3 linked regions of the Macaca mulatta genome follow. The protein of the gene in region 2 interacts with the protein of the main gene of each other region in a biochemical or structural test. Links are inferred from orthologs where the notes say so. Each region holds a gene or a part of one and is shown on either strand. Other genes may lie near its edges.

The links. The genes of interacting proteins can lie anywhere in the genome.
Region 1: the proteins of PRKN (region 2) and UBE2G2 form a complex in vitro, tested with the Homo sapiens proteins (6 studies listed by BioGRID). The link is inferred for Macaca mulatta from reciprocal best matches to the Homo sapiens genes PRKN and UBE2G2.
Region 3: the proteins of PRKN (region 2) and UBE2J1 form a complex in vitro, tested with the Homo sapiens proteins (4 studies listed by BioGRID). The link is inferred for Macaca mulatta from reciprocal best matches to the Homo sapiens genes PRKN and UBE2J1.

Annotation. Positions count from the first base shown.
Region 1 is NC_133408.1:2,723,312-2,730,653, reverse strand, and holds the start of UBE2G2 (ubiquitin-conjugating enzyme E2 G2), read right to left. Parts: upstream 4,533-7,342; 5' UTR 4,429-4,532; coding exon 4,386-4,428; intron 1-4,385. UniProt on the Homo sapiens protein: Accepts ubiquitin from the E1 complex and catalyzes its covalent attachment to other proteins. In vitro catalyzes 'Lys-48'-linked polyubiquitination. Involved in endoplasmic reticulum-associated degradation (ERAD).
Region 2 is NC_133409.1:9,423,338-9,430,720, reverse strand, and holds the start of PRKN (E3 ubiquitin-protein ligase parkin), read right to left. Parts: upstream 4,425-7,383; 5' UTR 4,326-4,424; coding exon 4,319-4,325; intron 1-4,318. Other genes in the region: PACRG (parkin coregulated gene protein), read left to right, coding at 4,896-5,051. UniProt on the Homo sapiens protein: Functions within a multiprotein E3 ubiquitin ligase complex, catalyzing the covalent attachment of ubiquitin moieties onto substrate proteins. Substrates include SYT11 and VDAC1.
Region 3 is NC_133409.1:96,635,873-96,643,093, reverse strand, and holds the start of UBE2J1 (ubiquitin-conjugating enzyme E2 J1), read right to left. Parts: upstream 4,533-7,221; 5' UTR 4,216-4,532; coding exon 4,185-4,215; intron 1-4,184. UniProt on the Homo sapiens protein: Catalyzes the covalent attachment of ubiquitin to other proteins. Functions in the selective degradation of misfolded membrane proteins from the endoplasmic reticulum (ERAD) and is essential for cells to recover from ER stress.

The DNA.
Region 1 (7,342 bases), on a different chromosome or scaffold from region 2:
TGCTAATGCAAATATCCTTAGAAAATACAAGTTCAACAACGCAAAGACTGGCCTGAAGCAGCAGCCTGAACTTAATTTCCTATGCAGGGGTTTAATGATTTTCTTCTCAATAAAAATGAGAAAATGGCTGCTCACAGTCTAGCCTCATCCTAGAAACAGGACAAAAATAAAACTAAAACAGAGACACAAACACAAACCAGGACACCAAGAAATGGTAGGTGTTTACACATTTGACCCACCAGCCAGGTTTCCCATGAGGACACAGAAGTAACAGTTCCCCATATCCAATCCTCTGTTCTAGTATGAACGTTGTCAGAATCAAAATGGAGTCACTTTTGTCAAACCCTGACAACATGGAGGTCAAGATGAAGACAGAAAAATCAGCCAGGTGTAGCGGCACGTGCCTGTAGTCTCAGCTACTCAGGAGGATTAAGTGAGAGGATAGCTTGAGCCTAGGATGTCAAGGCTTGCAATGAGCTGTGGTTGTGCCACTGCACTCCAGCCTGGGCAACAGAGCAAGACCCTGTCTCAAAAAAAAAAAAAAAAAATTATTTGCCAAAATATGCTTAATTTTTATTGCTAAAAAATGCTAACAATCATTTGAGCCTTCAGCAGGTCATAATCTTTTTGCCGGTGCAGTCTTGCCGGGATATTGATGGCTGTTGACTGATCAGGGTGGTAGTTGCTGAAGGCAGGAGTGGCTGTGGTAGTTTCTGAAAATAAAACAATTAAGTTTGCCACAGGGACTGACTCTTTCACCAAAGATTGCTCTGTAGTCTGTGATGTTGTCTGACAGCATTTTACCCAGACTGGAACTTCACTCAATATTGGAGTCAATACCCTCAAACCTTGCCGCTGCTTTATCAACTAAGTTTATGGAATAGTCTCAATCTTTTGTTGTCATTTCAACAATGTTCACAGCATTTTCACCAGGAGTAGATCCCATCTCAAGAATCACTTCTTTGCTCATCTGTAAGACTCAACTCCCCATCTGCTCAAGTTTGATCATGAGATTGTAGCAACTGAGTGACATCTTCATGCTCCACCTCTAACTGCAGTTTCCTTGCTATTTCCACCATATCTGCAGTTGCCTCCTCCCCTTAAAGTCATCCATGAGCATTGAAATCAACTTTTTCAAAAGCCTGTTGTTGATACGGTGACCTCCCATGAATCACAGATGTTCTTAATGCCATCTAGGATAATAAATCCTTTCCAGAAGGCTTTTGATTTTCTTTGCCCAGATCCATCAAAGAAATCACCTTTCATGGCAGCTATGGCCTTATGAAATGTATTTCTTAAATAAAAGTGAAAATTGTTCCTGGATCCATGGGCTGCAGAATGGGTGTTGTGTTAGCAGGCATAAAAACATTTATCTCCTTATACATCTCCATCAGAGCTCGAGTGACCAGGTGCACTGTCAGCAATAATATTTTGAAAATAATCTGTTTTTTCCTGAGCAGTAGGTCTCAACAGTGGGCTTATATTCAGTAAACCATGTTGTACTTAGATGTGCTGTCATCCAGGCTGTTGTACCATCCCTAGAGCTCAGAGTAGATTCAGCATAATTTTTAAGGGCCCTAAGATTTTCTGAAGGATAAATGAGCACTGGCTTCAACTCAAAGTCAACTTAAAGTGACTGACATTAGCCCCTAACAAGAGTCAGCCTGTCCTTTGAAGCCAGTCACTGACTTCTCTCTAGCTGTTTAAGTTGTATATGGCATCTCCTCCTCCCAATACTGCATAAGGCTATTTTACGTACCTTGTAAATCTATCGCTTAATTTAAGAGTCACTTTCATCTTGATCTTAGCTAGATCTTCTGGAGAACTTGCTGCTTCACCTTGTGCTTTTATGTTATGGAGACAGGTTATTTACTTCAATCTCATGAACCAACCTCTACTAGCTTCCAATTTTTCTTCTGCAGCTTCCTCACTGCTCTCAGCCTTCATAAAACTGAAGAGTTAGGGCCTTGCTCTGGATTAGGCTTTGGCTTAAGGGAATGTTATGAGTGGTTTGATCTTCTATCCAAACCACTAAAACTTTCTTCACATAAGCAGTAAGGCTTTTTCACTTTATTATTCATTGTGTTCAACAGAGCAACACTTTTAATTTCCTTCAAGAACTTTTCCTTTGCATTCACAACTTGGCTAACTGGTGCAAGAGACCCAGCTTTCAGCCTGTCTTGACTTTCAACATTCTTTTCTCACTAAACCTAATCATTTCTAGTTTTTGATTTGAACTGGGTGGAGTGCAACTCTTCACTTGAACACTTCAGCCCACTGTACGGTTATTACTGGCCTATTCAATATTGTTTTGTCTCAGGGAAGAGAGAGGCCGGGAGAGAGATGGGGAAACAGCCAGTCAGTGAAGCACACACAACATTTATTAGGACGACCATCTTTTATGGGCATGGTTCGTGATGCCCCAAAATAATTACAACAGTAACATCAAAGATTACTGATCGGCCGGGCGCGGTGGCTCAAGCCTGTAATCCCAGCACTTTGGGAGGCCGAGACGGGCGGATCACGAGGTCAGGAGATCGAGACCATCCTGGCTAACCCCATGAAACCCCGTCTCTACTAAAAAAATACAAAAAACTAGCCGGGCGAGGTGGCGGGCGCCTGTAGTCCCAGCTACTCGGGAGGCTGAGGCAGGAGAATGGCATAAACCCAGGAGGCAGAGCTTGCAGTGAGCTGAGATCCGGCCACTGCACTCCAGCCTGGGTGGGTGACAGAGCGAGACTCTGTCTCAAAAAAAAAAAAAAAAAATCAAAGATTACTGATCATAGATCACCGTAATAGATTAAAATGTGACACAGAGACACGAAGTGAGCAAAAATGGTGCCAACAGACTTGCTCCCATGCAGGGTTGCTTGTAAAAAAACTTGTAAACTTGTAAAACATGCAATATCTGCGAAGTGAAACTCAATCAAGCAAAGTGCGCGGGAAAGTAAGTGTGCCTCTACGTTCTGCTTTAGCAGACACTAGGTGGCGAGCGTTATTTGAACTTTTACAGCAGGCCGCGTATCTGCTCCTGCACATTCATGGATTCGACCAACTAGGAATACAAAATACTTGAAAAAAATAACGATTTAAAAATAAAAGTAAAAAAAATCAGTATAACTATTTGCGCAGCACTTACACTGCATTAGGTACTATAAGTAAACCTTGAGATGATTTAAAAGTTATGAGAGGCTATGCATACATTAAATGCAAATACCACGCCACTTTATAGTAGAGACTTGAGCATCCGTATCTGCAGGTGGGCCTGGAACCAATCCCCTCCAGATACCAAGGAATGAATGACCATACCTGAGTGAACCTGTATTTGCAATGTTTTGGTCTGCTTAAGCCAAACATCAACTCTCACTGTGCAGTGTCACCAATACAGCTATACGAAATCAAGCTACATGTATATTCACCACTTATTTCTGTTTTATCACATTCATTAGTTCAGCCTATTTTTAACCTTCTTCCAAAATTACCCTCAATCTAATTACAAAAGCAGCGGCTAACTTTATTAAGAGTTTACACATCAGGTATTTAGCACTTCACCGGCAGTATCAACTTTAACCTTTTAAGATAAAGAAACTGCAGAGACTGCGAGAGAGGAACAAGGTCAAAGAGCTAAGGAGCTGAGAGGCCGGGTCTGAACTCGGGCCCTGCTCTTAGCCGGCTATCTTGTCTCCGCCGGCGAGTCAGGTTTCTGGCGCTTTCAACACAATGGCATTCCAAGACTTCTCGCAGCAGTTCTTCCGAGCGGGAATTCGGTGTAAAACGATGGAATGCCGAGTGCTCCTAGGTTCTCATTTCTCCCTTCGCTCTCCTCAGACATTAGAAATATCTAACGTACCGGGTAGGAAAGCACTCATGAGGTTTTCTCAACACTACCTAGGAGGAGTGACAGGTGGCACTGTTCAAAAGCCCTTTTCCTTCACTGAAGGGAAAGCCAAAATCTGACCTTTCACCTAAAGCTCCACCAACGAGTCTTTTTCCCCTTTTAACGCATACACTTTTCCCCCCTAATTCCTCAGCAGCAACTCAGGCCTTCTTCCCCAAGCTCTCACTGCACGTTCTCAAGGCTGCCAAGAAAAGAATTACTAGAAAAGAGAAAAAAGAAAGCCCGCAAAGACTCAACTGTGTGTGCTCTCAACTAACACGGCGCCGGCGCTGCCTTTACCGACGCTGGGAAGGCTTCTCCTCACTTCACGCGTGAGGGCAGGCAGCGGGCGCAGAGAGCGGCGCTCCGGGGGACCCACAGCGGGGCTCGCGGTGGAGGCCCCGCGCCCGGCTCCCCCGCCAGGCTCTCTGCCCCAGCCCCACCGGACGACGCGGGCCCGGGAGCAGGAATGCGGGACGCTGCTGACCGCCCAGATCCCCGAACTCACGTTTGTACTCGGCCATCAGCCTCTTCAGCGCCGTCCCCGCCATGGCCCCGCAACAGCTTCGCTGAGCGACCTCGCCTCAGCCGCGCGCGTCCCTCCTGCCCCGACACCGGGGGCTGCTTCCGGGTCACCGTCACGAGCCTAGGAACTCTTCCGGGGCGTGGTGCGCAGCGCGCGTGCGCAATCGCGGAAGCGCGCTGTCGGGGCGGTGGCAGTTCAACGGGCGGCAGCGGGTTCTCTCGGCTCTTGCCCCGTCCTTAGTCGCTCTGCGTGGTTGGTTCCGGTCCCGGCACAGAGGCCTCAGGGTCCTGGTCTTGTAGAGACTTCCTGAACGGTGGCGCCTGTTCTAGTGTGTGCGCTGCCTGTTCCGTGCCAGCCACGCGCTGCCGAAGGGCGGGAGGACGGAGTTTGTAGTGGGGAGGATGGAAGTTGGGGAGGGAGGGCGGAGACGAGATGGGAGGTCGCGGGGCGGTCGGGGGCTGGGAACAAGGCGCCTGAGGCACGGGTCCGCACTGAACGTTCCAGCCGCCCCCGGCCGGCCGGGTTTCAGGTTTGAAAAGGTGGGAAGGTTGGCTGTCCTGGCGCTTTTTCTCCACGTGTTGTGCGGCTCCGCTGGAGTTCGGGTCCAGCACCTTCTACTTCGAGGGAGAGAGCCGCCAGCTCCGCTGGGCAGCCTCGACACCAGGGCACCCCCGGGAGGGAGGGCGCGGCTCGGGTCCCTGCCCGAGCCCCTGGGGTGCTGAGAGACTCCCCAGCGCCCCGCGTGGGCTCCCGGCCTCTCCACAGTTGAGGATCCTGTAAGGAGCTAGCCCTTTTCCCGTAATGGCTGTACTGAGTGGGAGTGCTTTCCCGATTGACCCGCTGTGAATAGGTGAGCGATTTGAAACCACATCCTTACTTCACAGTGAGTGCTTCGTGGCTGTCCAGTGCAAGGATGTATATACACACACACCTTTGCAAAAAACGTTTGCATCTCTTGCCTGGCTGTTCGTTGCAATAACCTCTTCATTTGTCTTTTCCCTTCCAGCATTGCAGATGATCTCTGTAAAAGAAGTCTGATCACATTCACACGCTGCTCCGCCCATTTCACTCAGTAAAGCACTGCCTTGGGCCACCCCGCCGTCCTCCCAGACCCTCCCGACATCCCTCTCACTCCACTCCAGCTGCCCTGGCTTTGTTCAGAGTCCCTGACTTTTCCCACCCCGGAAACACTTTCTTCTGGCGGCTCTGGTCCCCAACTCTTCCCACTCTCTTTCAGTCTTTGCTCAAATGTTGCCTCTTCAGTGTGGCCTAGACCATCACCACCCGGCCTTCACCGCATACCTTTCTCTCTGCAACTCCTACCCAACACACCGTACTATAGAACTTACTAGCATGCTATAAATTTATTACCCTTATCTGTTGCTTCTAACCAAAACCGTGTTCCATGAGAGCCAAGGTTCTCTGCCTACTTCTGTCTTGTTTCTGGGGCAGCCTCTGTACCTGGACACCATATACTCTTAATACGGATTTGTCAAATCAAATGAAATTTAACAATGCAAACTTCACAAGTATGCATATTGTAGGAAAATTCCCTAAAATTCAGAATTTCAGTCTACCTCTATCTTTTCAAATGAACACAGTGCTTTATAAAAATGACATTGTTCTTTGAGACTGTTTCAGAGAGTAATTTGTGCAAATGCAATGTGCAAAAAGTCACAATGGAGGTGTTTCCTTCCCCATTCAAGAGCTGCTCTCTCTGTAATCAGACAGCACCCCACACCCCAAGGCGTTTCTGTCCAGTGCTACTAAAGGAAAGCAGCTCCCCTTTTCCAGTTATGGGAAATATGGGCAATAAAGCATTACTGTCAATGCCGTGATGCTCACTATAACATATGCTGGATATTTTCATAATTTTATCAATCTTTTCCAGACATCTTACTGTAGAACACTGTATGTTCTCCAATTACTATTTTTCAGAAATGTGGTTTACGGCTTCTCTCAGGATTAGCTTCGGCTTCAAGTGACAAAAGTCCAAAATATGAGTTGCTGAAATAAGATGGCAGTCTCTCCCCTCAACGGGGCTGTTACACCACCTTATCTTCAGAGAACCAGGCTCTCTGCAACATTTCTTTTCATGGTCATCGTTCAGTTCCTTGTGTGAAATTCAAGTTTAGCTGGGCATCCTGTATTTTAATCGGCTAACTCGTGCAACTCTCAACTCACTTGATCTAAGTGGCACTGGAGTCCCAGGGGTTCTGAGCAGCCAGTGTGTAATACTGCATGGCAGCACACCCTGGAGAGGCCAACTGTACAGAATAAAATTAATGCCTTCTATCTTTAGCAACTGAAGTTCTGAAATATAAAAAGGACCTCACAGCTTAACCCATGTCACACGGTGGGGCTTTCCGGTGAACATCACGCGTTTCCAGCTGGGCACTCCTGCAGCATGGCTAAGACGACAAGTTTCCTGGGAGTGGGGGTTCCTTTCGGTGCAAAAGCTGGAGAAGTTCCAGTTGGAACCCCAGGCATAGATACCAGGATAAATAGGTCCTCTCTCCTCCAGGAGCATCAATTTAACCCAAAGATTCAGTTTCTCATAATTAATGTTCTTGAAAATAGTAATCCCAACAAATCTATTTTTCCAAATGCACAATTCGCATAAATCTCAGAGAAAAGACAACCTCAAGAACATGCCTTTGCTGGGCGCCGTGGCTCACGCCTGTAATCCCAACTACTTGAGAGGCTGAGGCAGGAGGATCACTTGAGGCCAGGAGTCTGAGATCAGCTTGGGCAACTGATTTATAGTTTGGATTTGTGTCCATGCCCAAACCTTATGGTTGAATTGTAATCCCCAGTGTTGGAGGAGGGGCCTGGCAGGAGGTGACTGGGTCATGGGGGCAGATTTTCCCCTTGCTGTTGTCACGGTGAGTTCTCACAAGATCTGCTTGTTTAAAAGTGTGTGGCATCTCCCTCTGCTC
Region 2 (7,383 bases):
AGCATTTCGAAGTAAGAACTCTTTTTTTTCCTGCATCTTTCAAAAAAGCTTTGGAGGTAGGAATGGATTTACATATCTTAATACAAAGTACTTTCATTGTATCATTTTCAGGCAATGAAACTATGAGGTTTCAAAAAATGCAGACTTCAAAAATATCCTCAGAAATAGGGCCAAAACTGTAAAGGACAAAGGGTCATTTTAGAGCTTTTGGACCGACTCAAGGAAAAACTATTATATAATTACATAAAATCTTCTATGCAAAACTTTATTAGAGCCTATTTTTGACACAATTTTACCTCATCATAAACAGAAGCTTTGGGGTACTTAGGCATAGAGCTGCTTTTCATCAACTTATTAAAATGGCAGAGCAAAGAGTAGTACACAGAATATTCAACTAGAAATATAAATTGAGACTTTAAAATTCACTGCACACACGCTTGAAAACAAACATGCAGATATATGGGCAAATGGTGAAGTCAGAATGCACATTCCTGATGGCAAGGGACTTTTTCTGCTCTGTTCCCTCGTTTCCCTGGCACCTAGAGCAGTTAAGGGTACACAGCAGGTGCTGAAATCACCGCATCTGCTTTTGTGAAACTAACGCATTATAAGATGAAAATGGGAAGTTTTCTTCCAAATTAATTTGCAAAGTTAAAAGATGCTGTTTTTAATCTGTCAAGAGGGCAAAAATAAAAAATCTTTGATGGCACATGGGAGGAAATGGGCACCCTTATACACACTGAAAGGGAGGGCAGGGCCACCAAGGACAGTTGTGCAGCTTGTACACTGAAAGGCACTACACCTAGGGTGAGAGAGAGGTGGGGACTGGAGATCTAGGAGGTGTTCTGCTAGTGAAAGCTGAGTCAGTCTCGGGAAGGACGTCTTTTGGTAATTTTCAGGCCAGAGGGGCAGGGCAGCTCTTTACTACCATGTTGTATTCGTGGAGGCTTTAGATAGCTTTGTAAAATAGGGCAACTTATTTTAGAAAAATTTTGAAATACCTAGGAATATTTTAAATCTGCAAACTCTTTAACTCAAATTGTCATACGATTTCTCTTTTACATATATGCTTACATGTGCAAGTAAAAAGATATGTCCACAAACATTTCTGATAACAGTTGTCTGTAAACCTGATGAGTGCTTATTTGTTGGTAAATATTTTCATTAGTGTATCCTATAAAACACTAGGCAGGAACTGCTGTGGAGTGAATCTGTACATGCAGATATGTAAATTCTCAAAGAGATGCTAAGTGAAACAAGGTATAGAAGAGACTATGTTCCAATGAATGGTTTTTGTCAATCAAAAATCTTCTTAAAAGTATAAGACACTGAATGTGTATTTCAATACTGACAACACTGGTGTATATATAACCAAGCACTCTAATATCTGCTGTTACTCAAATACCTAAATCCAGTTCTACAGAACATTTAGAACATACCACAAATTATCACCACTAACATTCCATTTTAAATACAAAGAACTGATCATTTTTTAAAAAGTCAAAATATATTTTTAATAGAGATACCAAAAATTACACTGTTCTACGTTGAATTCTTTTAAGCTTTTCTATTCTGCTTTATATTATCTTGAAGTCCTTCTCCACACCTTCCACAAAGGCACAATTTTTAACCGACTTCAATTAAATTACGTTTCCATAGCTGCCCAGGTCAGGGCATTCAACATATCAATCGCAGTCCAGGTGGGAAATGTAAGGACTTATGAAACAGTCCTCATCCCAAGAAGGGAATCTTTGGTTTTGAGAAAGTAAAAGGAAGGTACATTCCACTAGCAGTTAGGTCGCAGTCAGTCCTGTTTACTCCTCTTCTACCAGGAAACCCATCTTTACGTTTCTCCAACTGGCAGAATATTATTTGCATTAAGGTTGGGGCGGGAAATTAAAGAAAAATAAAATTAAAAAGAAAAAGAAATAAGTTTTCCTGTTTTAGGCTAACTTGTCCCAGAGGCAGCAACAGCACAGCCCAGATCCAGGAAGAGTCTTGATAATATTATCGAATGTGCTCTGGAGACTCTCCCAGCACTCCCTCAACACAGGGAGAAGAAAAACAAATTTTCCTTTGTTTTATGGAATCAGTTTATAGACTCTTGTTCTCTGTAACTAGTGATTTCAAGTATTCTGTTTTATCTAAGAAGTACAACGAAGGTCATGAGAAGCCTGAGTAGGCCTGAACTACAGCTGCCTGGGCACCACAGTGAAGGTTATAGGATAAGCCTGTGCCCAGGGAAACCTAGATAACGAACATCTGGGTTGCTTGGCGATGGTCATGTGCAGTCCTGCCTTTGTCCTGCCTCTGTATCCCTGCTTTGCCACCACTGTAAGTTTGCTTCAAGCTAGCCCACCTCCTTTTGTGAAGTGTGTATAAAAGTCAAGTACTGTCTTTATTCTGGGCCCAGTCTATTGCATGTGAGTCAGCTGGGCCTGAGTGCACTCGATCAAGATTCTCCTGTTTCAACCTGAGGTCTCTCTCGTCCTCCTGAATCCCGCAACAAGGTGAGTGTAACAGAGAAAGCATAGGCCTGAAAGGAGCAAGCTTTGAGAAGCACTCTTACCTTTAACAGAAAATCCCAGATACATACTATTTACATTTTGATCTCCAACTGATCACTGGATAGAATCTATAATGTCTTTCCTGGCTCTGAATTTTTGTCACAAAAACACAAAACCCATCACTCCAAGGCTTCCTTTTAATGGTTTTCACTTTCACCTACCTTTAGCACTGTTCACCACACCCAAATCTCAAACTGGCCATTCAGATGTTTACTGAAATGTGGCTAATGAGGCTGGGCATGGTGGCTTACGCCTCTAATCCCAGATCTTAAGTGCCTGTCTTCATATAGCTTTACAATAAATTTGTTTCTCTTAAAATTATCTGTGCACTAGATTAAGTTAAATTAAAATAAAATGTATTTAACTGTCTTCAAAATAAGGTATAGGCTATTTTCTTCCTGTAGACTACTGATAGCACGGATTTTGGAAAATCTCTTCTACTTGGTTTTCTGATTCAGTTCAGACTTGTGCTTACAAGTGAATCTTACGTAAATGTCACCTAAAAAGAGCTCAAGAAAACTCAAAAAATTATAACTTTTTCATAATTTGGTTAACTTTCAAGTCATTCACCAAAAGTCAGACCATGCTAGAAAGGGAAGAAAGGCTGGACAACATTCTTGTTTTACCACAGAGACAAAGACAATGCCAGTTAGCTGGCTTGATTCTCCCACTGATGGGCAGAATGTTTACATTTTAACAATAACTTCATAAATAAAAACAGATGTAGTACGTGTTTTCAGTGCATAAAGATCATATATTTTATGAATCCACCTCTCACCTTACTTCTGGACAGACCACATCTGACTTCGAACGTACTTACTGCAATCAAAAGTGTTTTGTAAGGGACGCTCCTCAGGAATTAGCCCTAAACAAGCTCACTAAACCCTCCATACATAACCTGGAGAAACTTCCACAATAATGAAACCCCATATAGCACTGGCTTCTAAACATATGGTGCATTTCCATTCATTTTTAGGGACAGCCCCTAAAGTAGTTTTTGGTTCAACAACCCTGGAAGAGGACCTTTGCACCTTTGCTCATCTTACACATCAAGTGTTCATGAACAACTCTGATGCCACTAAGTTTTGTTCACAAAATTGCACCTCGGTCATTGTGTTTTACCAAAAAAAAACAAAAAAAACAAAGTTATTTTGCAAAAGGCAGTAGATGTAATCTTGGCTATTATTTACTCTCAATTTTTCTTTCACCTCAGCCCTCCAACGAGAAGTTTAAAAGGAAACATCCGAGGGAGCAAGAAGTTTAGATTCATCTGGAGGAGTTTCTGTGGCGCCCAGCCACCCTCACCAGGTGCCTTCCATTAGAGTTTAATGCTTTGCTGGGGTTTCCTGAAAGAGCCCCACAAAGAGTGGGTCTCGATGGGTCCTGAACCGCACGACAACTGGCCAGGGCCTCGAGGGCGAGGGGCGGCGGCGGGGCGAAGGCTTCGGGACCCTACACGGTCCGGGGGACCATGAGCGAGGACCGGGGGTGCGGGGCCGCCTGGCGTCCCCGGTGAGGCGGTCTTCACGGGAACGCTCAGAGCAGGGGCGGGCGGGCGAGGGCTTGGAACGCACACACTGGGGCCCCGGGCCCGCGTCGCTGAGCTGGAGAGCCCGGCGGTGCGGGCCGGGTACGACATGGGCACTTTGGCCCCGTCACTGACAGTTGGCACCTGGGGTCCAGGTCGGCCGAGGCCACACCGGGGCGCAGGGCGGCGCAGATGAGGCTGTACCTGGCAGGTACCCACGTACCTATCATGGTCACTGGGCAGGTGGCGGCTGCGGGCCAGGAAAGGGCCTACGCGCGCACCGGCGCCAGCCAGCGCCTCCCACCAGCGGCTCTCCTGGGTTAAATCTTCCAGGGCTCCCCGCCCCGGCGCCGGGCCCTAGGAATGCGCACGCGCGGAGGGTACGCGGCCCAGGGCCTGCTGGGAGTCGTAGTTTTAATGCGTAGTTTCTCCTCACGCCTCCTGCCCTCCAGCTCACCGCCGCCTCCCTTTCCGGCTTCAGGCCCAGCAATCGTACGTCACCGAGGGGCGGAGCTATGCGCCCGCAGTGTTGACCAGTCGCTTAGCAACCGGGAGGCTTACCTTTGGAAGCTTGTTGCAGCTCTAGCTACGGTCCTGCCCTCTTCCCGCCCCACCCCTCCCCTAAACTCCCTTCACCTAGGAGCTGCCAAACATCTGGATCAACCTGGGCACTACGAGGGGTTGAATTTCTACCATTAACGCGCCTTTTGACATTTTTTTCCCGACCTCCTGCTCACATCCGTAAAACCCACTGATTCTTTTACTACACTTTTTATGAGAACAAGACATTTTCTAGGAAGATGGTGGCAGAAAAAGAGACCCTGAGCTTAAACAAATGCCCAGACAAGATGCCGAAGAGGACCAAGCTGCTGGCACAACAGCCGCTCCCGGTGCACCAGCCTCACTCCCTGGTTTCTGAGGGCTTCACAGTCAAAGCCATGATGAAAAACTCAGTCGTAAGTGATCTTCCTGAATTGAATGCACTCGCTCCGTATCAGGGGACACGAGATTTACAGAGGTTGGCCAGCCCTAGGATGGACTCTGAGCCCATGTCCTGGGTGGTCTTTGCCAAAAATGGCAATTACTTGGCAAGTAGCAGACGGTCCCCCACAGTGTGTGGGGGGCAGGCTAGGTTGTTAGAATCCTGGGCAAATGATATACTCTGCCCATTGATAAGCACCTTCCTGATAACTCATCGTTTCTAAACCGCCCAAAATTACTCTTACGCTATTTACACGAGGTAAAAAGATCCCCTTTAATTACTGATTGCTAACTAACCCCACTCAGCAAAGGGCCTTACAGAAGATGAGCTCTTAGAAATCATAAACTCTTGCAAAATTTAACATGAGCTGATATACAACTGGGAACATAAACTCATTAAATAATCTATAATGAGAAATTTTGGAATATCCTAGCAGTTACTCTAACAACACTTGTCTCTTAGAAAATGATGTCATCTTGTTAGAGTACTGAAAGCCCACTTAATATGAACACTGTTTCCTGACAGGCCTTTTAAGATGATGTGCTTTAAACAATACAAGCTTTAGCTCATGTGTCTCTGCTACTAATACAATTCATATTTCATCTGCATTATTTGTAGTAACAAAAATAAAATATTCTAAGTATCATTAGAGGAAAAAAAGATTAAAAATACATACAAATATTTTAGCTGTCTGCATGATAGTATCTATTTTTTAAACCTTCCTATTTGTTACATAGCTTTACACTTGGTATGCTAAGGCAGATTTTGCTACTGAGTAAGCACCTGTCTGGGAATGAGGCATTAAATAATAAATGCAGCTTTCAAATTCATATAATTTACACCCTGGGAAGATCTGAGTTATTACATGTGGCAATTCATTATGTTAAATGAGTAATGTTGTTTTCCAGTGTCACATTATTTCCTTTGCTTATATGTTGTAAACCTAATAACTTATTCCTAAACGACATACTTAAAATACATGAATGAAACAGATTACCTATAGACCTCTAGGCCAGGTTCCCATGTGGTTATGCAAAATGATATCCTAATTATTGAGAAGTGTGTCAGGTGATTTACAGTAGTTAAAATTCTTGGAAATAGACTAAAATTCTGCTTGTTGTAACTAATTCTTTTTCATGGAATTTCACATAAATTGGTTCTCCTAGGAGTCAAGATGATGCATTTATCAGCAATACCATAACCATTCAAGTTAATAATTTAGTTTTCTTCTACACAATATTTACAATTTTGGTGTTTTTTAATGTTATAATTGAATATCACAATTTTTTTTTTTTTACTGGTCAGGGTTCTTTTCTGTTATTTCCTAAACTTGTGTTCATAATTCTTGTATCATGTTAATTCTTTAATATAATCCTACGCCTAAAGAGATAGTTCTGCAAAATCTAATGTTTCTATATTGCCAGATGTAGTAAATATGCCTACATGACTTTAAAAGAACCACATTGATTATGAAGCAGGCTTCTTTATAAAGAACTTATTTGTGATACATTATCTTATCTTTTTATATTCTAAAGGAAAATCTTGTGCTAGCAATACTTCTCTTGCCATTGGAAATCATAATTCTTAAATGCAAAGATTATTTATCCATTCATCTACTTATTCAGTCAACAACTCTCTCTCTCTCTTTTTTTAATACCCAATACTTGTTAAGCACAGTTCTGGGGATTTGGGATCAGCAAAGCAAAGTCCCTGCCCTTAGTACTCCAAGGTAAACCAAAATAACAACATTCAAATCTTGATAAAAGAAAGCTAGACAATACTGTTTATACAAAATAACTTCAGTGGTACAAGAAATAAAAATTTTCCATTTCATAACCAATATTTACATTTCACCATTTTTATCTTTAGCAGTATAGACTTTTCAGCATTATAAGATCAAAATATCCTCATCTCTTTCTGAAGGTGTATTTCGATTCAGGATATGTATGACAATTTCCAGCTTTTCTTAATTGCGACCTCATGCTCAAAGGCCAATACCCTCCAAACCACTTTTCCAGTTAGATAAGTCACCATTCCAATGCTCTTCCACTTAAAACATGAAGAATTTTATATATCCTAAGGAGTTACACAGAGACTCCTGATATTTCTTTGAGTGCAATAGTGATACAAGTACATAAACTTGATGATAAATATGTTTCATCAAATGGGCTGTGCAAGCAGAAATGCTTATTTAAACAGTCAGTCTGGATATGAGAGCGCAAAATTATTGAAAAATAATGATAAATGTAAATGGCAAAATTTTTAAAATCTCAATGTCAAGTATTGTTCTTCAATAGAAAGTAGAC
Region 3 (7,221 bases), about 87 Mb from region 2:
CTTCCTTCTTATAGAGGCCACATGGGCACTCTGGAGCTATGCTCTAGGTGCTGTGGGCCTAGGCATTAGCATTCTTCACACACCGGGGCTAGCTCACTAGGCTCACATTGGGGTTTGTATCCCGCTAACAATAAAGGGATCTTCTACAGGCCACTGCGTCCCATATATGGATTTCTCTTGAAAAGCAATTGATATTATCAATTCCCAAAGCATGAATGAAATTCAGGAGACACGTATATTAAGGAAGGCATGCTCCCTAACTGCCTCTTCCTGCTCCCATAATGAACGTACTTAAGTAAATGCCTACAGAGTGATGTTTCTGCCCAGGAGGACCCTGCAAAGGTATCAGTTCAACAAACATTTAAAGAATGTCCGAGTGTTGGAGATAAAAGAATGACCAAGACCTGCTTCTTGTCTTCCATAACACTGAGTAGAGAAAGACATGAAGATAATTACAACACAAGTGGTAATATTGACCAAGTATTTATGTACAAGTATATGTAGGAACTACTTTAGTCTGCCTAGGGGAGCTAGACAAGGCTGAACCTTAAAGCTTGAAGAACTATAGGAATTTCAGATGGATTTAAAGGAAGGCATTCTAAGCAGAGGTTCCAATGGGAACCAAAGCATGTAAGTGAGAAAAGCTACTCCAGCTGGAGAGTCATTCAGGCAAAATGGATAGGTAAAAATGCAGGCCTGGTGCAGTGGCTCTCACCTGTAATCTCACCAATTTGGGGAGCCAAGGTAGAGGGAACACTTGAGCTCAGGCGTTTGAGACCAGCCTGGGCAACATGGTGAAACCCTCCTCTCTACAAAAAATATAAAAATTAGCTGGGCGTGGTGGCACACACCTGTGGTCCCCATTACTCGGGAGGCAGAGGTGGGAGAATCGCTTGAGCCCAGGAGGTTGAGGCTGTAGTGAGCTGTGATGGCACCACTGCACTCCAGGCTGGGAGACCCTGTCTCCAAAAAAAAAAAAAGAAAATGCAAAAGAGCATAAGAATGTGGACAATGAGGCTGGTGAGGAAGGCCAGGGTCAATCATTAGGCCAAGCTAAGCAGTTTACTTTGAACTTTATCGACAGCTATCAGAAAGCTACTGAAAATTTTTCAATTTGAGGGGTAATCATTTTTTGTTTTAATTGATCTGGTGACAACAGTGACTGATTAGACATATGTGTTTGTGTGTGTGTGTTGAGTTGTGTGTTTCAGGGCAGGGATGGAGCAAGGAAGCCGACCAAGAAATAAAAAATGACTCCCATAGGTGCCTGAGTGCTGTCTATCCATGGGATATGAAATATTAGGGTAAACTGCAAGTTTAGGGGAGGAGAGGAAAACTATGAGTTTCGTCTTTATACTTGTAAAGATTTTTTTTGCTTTATGGGAAATAAAGATGAAGACGTTGAGTCACCATAAGTTCTGTGTATCTATAGCTTAGGAAAAGGGTCTGAGTTGGACATGAAACCTTGAGTGGATTAGTGTGAAGGTGCAGTTGACACCAATGGCATGCACAGGTTACTCTTAGACTTCTGGTGGAGGCAGTGGGTACTTTTGCACCAGTCTCTTATACTCCCATCACCTGCTGCACATGTCAATGGCCCCCGATGAAGAAGCTGCCAAAAGAGGTGCTATATACACATCTACTCACTTTGTACTATAGGACTCTACTTCCTTGGCCAGAGCGGACCCAAACATGGGTCAAGTAAATTGATCCATAGACAACTACTGACAGGTTAGTCAGAGGCTTTGAGGTGATCCTACACAACAGCTCTACCCACAATCACAAGTCCATTCCAAAAAACACCATAAAGGAAAAAGTTTCCCCACCTATGAAATGAACAAATTTACTATATCCACATGCTACTACACTGGCCCTTAACCAACTATCTGTATTGTCTTCACTTCATCTTTCCACTCATACATCAAAGACAATCCCACATCAGATAAAGAGTAAAAGATTATGTCTCTCCCGTTGTGTGGTTGTTTTTTGTTTGTCTGGTTGGTTGGTGTTTTACGTGTGTGTGCACCCTGCCGTACGCAGGAAACTGGAGTTTTCAGTTGCTCCCCTTCACACAGGCATTACTCTAAAAATAACACAGGACTGAGAATAAAGCAAAGGAAGGAAGTATTTTCACGATGCCTCCCAGCATTTTCAGTAAGTCCCATATCTCACCTAATTCAACTTCTCCATGAACTCCAAATAATTCACACATTAACAAAAATAGATTTTTAAGAAGCACTGTTTTTTTTTTTAGAACCGCAACACTATCTTTGAGGAAATGAAACCAAAAAAAGGAAGCAATTTATGACACAGTTAGAAGCATGTCAACCAAAGCTCAACCAGCTGACAATAGTTGACATACTTTGGAAATGTACAAAATTCTGAAGAATTTTAAAAACATCATCATAGTATTACGTCTAACCTATCAAAATTGAGCGATGTTTTCTGACAACAATCTCTTGGGTTCCACCAGTTCTCCATTCCAAACTGCACTACTACTCACATGTGCATTATTCTCTGGACCTTTCACTGAGCACCTCTGCTGTCCTAAGGAACCATGTGACCAGGAAGCCATCATACATTTTTACCCAAACAGTTCTAGTTAAATCTACCACAATGTAAAGAATTCAATCATTTTACCATCTACCTTAAAAATTAAGCTTTTCTTTCCCTCTTTCTCTTTGGTCTTTTCTTCCTCCCTCCCCACCCCGGGGTTCTTTTTGTTTTTTGTTTTTGTTTTTGTTTTTTTAGATGGAGTCTCGCTCTGTTGCCCACACTGGAGTGCAGTGGCGCGATATTGGCTCACTGCAACCTCAGCCTCCACGGGTCAAGCCATCCTCCTGCCTCAGCCTCCCGAGTGGCTGGAACTACAGAAGTGCGCCAACACCATGCCCGGCTAATTTTTGTGTTTTTAGTAGAGACGGGCTTTCGCCATGTTGGCCAGGCTGCTCTCCACCTCCTGGGCTCAGGCCTCCCAAAGTGCTGGGATTACAGGCATGTGCCACCGTGCCAGGTCTTCATCAGATTTTTTTGAGGAGTCAGTGGCCCCTAAAATATTATGACCAATTCTACACACTTGGTCACCTAAGGACATTTCTGAGCTTGACAGCACTCAGGTTAACAAAGCTCCCTCCAATCAATATCCTCAGGCTTTTCTGGGGTTTTTGCATATTCTGAAACCATACAAAAAACCCAAAGATTCACAATGTCAACTCTTTCCATAAGGATGCTAGTCTTGCTAATTCCTACTGAGAAACAGCTTTTTTTGGAAGGAAATGTTAAGCAACGCAAAAGTTAGTGAAATCACTAATACCCTAGAGTTTATCATGCAGAGTTAACTGTAGAGTTTCTTCCCCCTGACAAAATGTATCAAGGTACAGATAGAAAAAATACCATTTAGAGGATCCAATGATTTATTTCAAGCCTGTTTCATTAAGCTGAGAAAGCTAGTTGCTTATCTTTATAATGCACCAGAAAGTAAAGGTTAGTATTGCTGGGACTGCTTGTGTAAATAAAGCAGGATCATTAAATGCAGGAAAGGAATCCTACGACTGAAGACAGATATGTTTCATATTAGCCAGTCTGGCAAAAATCAAGGTTAGCTCTCAAGAACAGGGCTCAACTAGGTGTTTTTTGTTGTTGTTGTTTTGTTTTTGTTTTGTTTTGCTTTAGCTCTACAGTTAACTGGTTTAGTTACAGAACACTTCCTTTATGTCTGTAATTGCATTCGCCCAAGTGCTGCAAATAGGATGTTTAAACGACTAACTCCTCAAATGTGAGTAAATCAGCAGGCTAATAGTCCACTGACAGCGACGGGGAGGGAATTAACGACGGTGTTCAGGATGCAGGTACAGCGAGGGGGTTGCTGACTATCGCCCACCCACATCACCTTTACACCTGTTCTCAGGGATGAGTTTCTGACCCAGCTCTACGGGACCGGGCGAAGACGAGAAAAGGGGGAGGCTGGGTGCTGCGGGCGCTGGCCGGCCGGGGGATTGGCAGCGGGCGTCCACCCGGCCACCCCGCCCTGCGGCCTGCACTTCCCGGGCAGGCGGCGGTCTCGCGTAGAGCGCGAAACCAGGAGCTGAGCCGCGAGTGGCGCCAGACGTGAGGGGACCGCGGCGACCGCCCCGGGGTCCAGGGTCACTCCGCACTCCTAGCCCAGGGGCCCCAGCCCTGCTCACCCGGACTCTTCAGGTTGTAGCGGGTCTCCATGGCGGGTCGCTGGCCTGGCTCCGGCCTCCCGGGCAGCTGCCACCTCCTCTCCACGCGGCCGCTGCCCAGGTCTCAGCGCGGCTCGGGCGGACGGGGCCTGGCCGAGGAGCCTTGGCAAATGCCGCCCAGTCCAGCCCGGACTGCGGGCGGGTGGCAAGGCTGAGTGCTGGCGAGGCGCTGGCTTCGCGATGGCGCCGCCTCCTCCGCTGCGCCCCCGCCTCCCTGAGTGCCTGGCAGGCACCGGCGCCGGCCGGGGCGTCGCTGAACCCGGCGCCCGGGCTGGAGGTCAGCCTCCTCCGGTAGCCGCAGGCCCAGCCCCGTCGCGGCCGCCCGGCTTGCGTCACCCGCCCTCGTCCGGGATTTGTGAAGTTGCCCTGACGTGGCAGTAGCTTCGTGGCGGTCGGTCCCTACCCAGCCGCCGCCGGCCCCGCGAAGCCGGCTTGGGGAGCTGCAGGAGCGAGCGGCGTCCTAGTCCTCTCGTTCCGGCCCCCGGAAACCGGCCTTCCGCCGGACCCTCTGGGGTCCGTCCCCAGGCGCTGGCGGGTTTCACCGAGGAACCGCGCGGCGCGAAGCGGCTCCGGCCCTACCCGCTGTAGGCGAAGTCTGGGATCCCCGGGCCCTGGAGAGCTCAGAGAGGGCGCCGGGCTCCGGCTGCAAAGCTGTCCGCATCCGGCTGCCCGCGCGCGGTCCCGCGGGGTCTGGGAAGGGCTTTGTTTTTAGATCCAGTCCCTGTTGCGGGGGGCGGGAGTTAAGTGAGGAGGGGGAAAGCCAGTGATAAGGGAATGGAATAGGAATTTTTTTTTTTTTTTTTGAGACGGTGTCACCGCTCTGTCGCCCAGGCTGGGGTGCAGTGGCGCGATCTTGGCTCACTGCAGCCTCTACCTCCTGGGCCCAGGCGATCCTCCCACCTCAGCCTCCAGCGTGGCTGGGACCGCAGGTGTGTGCCATCACGCCCGGTTAATTTTTTGTATTTTTGATAGAGACAGGGTTTCGTCGTGTTGGCCCGGCTGGTCTCGAACTCCTGGACTCAAGTGATCCGCCCGCCTCGGCCTCCCAAAGTGCTGGGATTACAGGCGTGAGTCACGGCTCTGGCTGGAGTTGGATATTCATAATAGTTTTTTTTCTTGGGTAGTGTGTTAGGTGCAAGACGCTGTTTTAGGCATTGCAGGAGTTTTGGGTTTTTTGGTTTGTTTAGATGTAAAAGCTGTCAAAAAAAAAAAAAAGGAATTACATTGAATTTGAGGGAAAGCATACAAATATGAAAGGTTAAACTTCAAAGGACACACTTCCTGCTTCATTGTCCAATGTGTGGGATCGAGAGAGAGGACTGAGTTCAAAAGTCTCAAGGAGTAGGAACCTACCTTAGGAAAGGAAAGGAGGGAGGGATTGGGAAGGTGGGCCGGATAGAAAGGGTTAATCAGGTTGGGCAAGTTTTATTCTGTTATATAAAGATATAAAACTCTTAAATTTGATTTGTTTTCTATTGTTAATATAAATCTGAATTTCTTGGTGAAATTGGGAGGAAAAAAGTGAAGGGTATCTAAAATTAGATGGTATCTTTTAAACCATTCCCTGAGGTTGTTTTCTGTATAGTAAACTGATAATCTGATTGGCTGAGACATGCAAACAAAACCAAACTCCAATGCTGTTTCATTCATTCATTGTGTTGAATCTTCAGATATATCTAACACTTGACACCCTCTCCTGCCACAGCTCTACAAAAACCCCTAATTTGTGCAATAGGCCCTACCACAGCAAGGCCTGCAAAGCAGGTGCTGTATATAATGCGCTCCTATTTGATAGCTGAGTACTAGAAGCCTTTTGCTATTCAGCCTCCAGGTCCATCAATCTCTGGGTGCAGTTGTCTTCTGGGGCTCTTCTTTAGCCACCACCACCTCCTCTGCTCCCTGGGGCTCTTCTCCCACTGGACTGGTTCAGTAGAAATAATCTCTCCTTCCTTGGTTAACAACAATAACAATTTATTGTGGACATGTGCCCATAACAATTTAATTATGGGCATATATCAAAGCTTAATTACAATCATGCTCCAAGATCAAAGCCAATTCCAAAATTTCTCTCAGTAGAGACATTTACAGAGAAAAGATAAGTGGCCGGCCAGGTGCAGTGGCTCGTGCGTGTAATCCCAGCACTTTGGGAGGCCGAGGCAGGCAGGTCACCTGAGGTCAGGAGTTGGAGACCAGCCTGGCCAACATGGCGAAAACCCGTCTCTACTAAAAATACAGAAATTAGTTTGGTGTGGTGATGCGCGCATGTAATCCCGGCTACTTGGGAGGCTGAGGTAGGAGAATCCCTTGAACCCAGGAGGTGAAGGTTGCAGTGAGCCGAGATCAGCCTGGAAGACTGAATGAGACTCCATCTCAAAAAAAAAAAAAAAAAGGCCGAGGTGGGTGGATCACTTGAGCTCAGGAATTGGAGATCAGCCTGAGCAACATGGTGAGACCCATCTCTACTAAAAATATACACACACTCAAAAATTAGCCGGGCATATGTACCTGTGGTCCCAGCTACTCTGGAGGCTGAGGAGGGAGGATCAGTTGAGCTCTGGGGGATGGGAGAGGAGGAGCAGGCTGCAGTGAGCCATGATCGTGCCACTGCATTGCAGCCTGGGTGATAGAGCATGTCTCAAAAAGACACAAAGAGAAGAGTAATTTTATTTAAAGGTTACTGAATTCTTGACTGACGGTGGGAAGGGAGCTCATTTCCCCGGAAAATTTCTTATCCAAAAATTACTTATTTTTTAAATCTAGAACACTTACTTCTTCCAAGAAAAATTTACAAATTATATCAGGTAAAGGTTCAATCCCAGATCAAATTTGGGGTAATTTTTCTTTACTTTTGATGATCCTAAGGAAAACTCCTTTGTTTTTCATTTCAAGATTTTTTTTAATCCTTAAAGCCGACTTCGTAGCTAACAAAAATTACAAAACATGAGGTTTAAAATGTTTCAGAATCTTAGAAAACATCTTAGAACCACAATCCTTGACC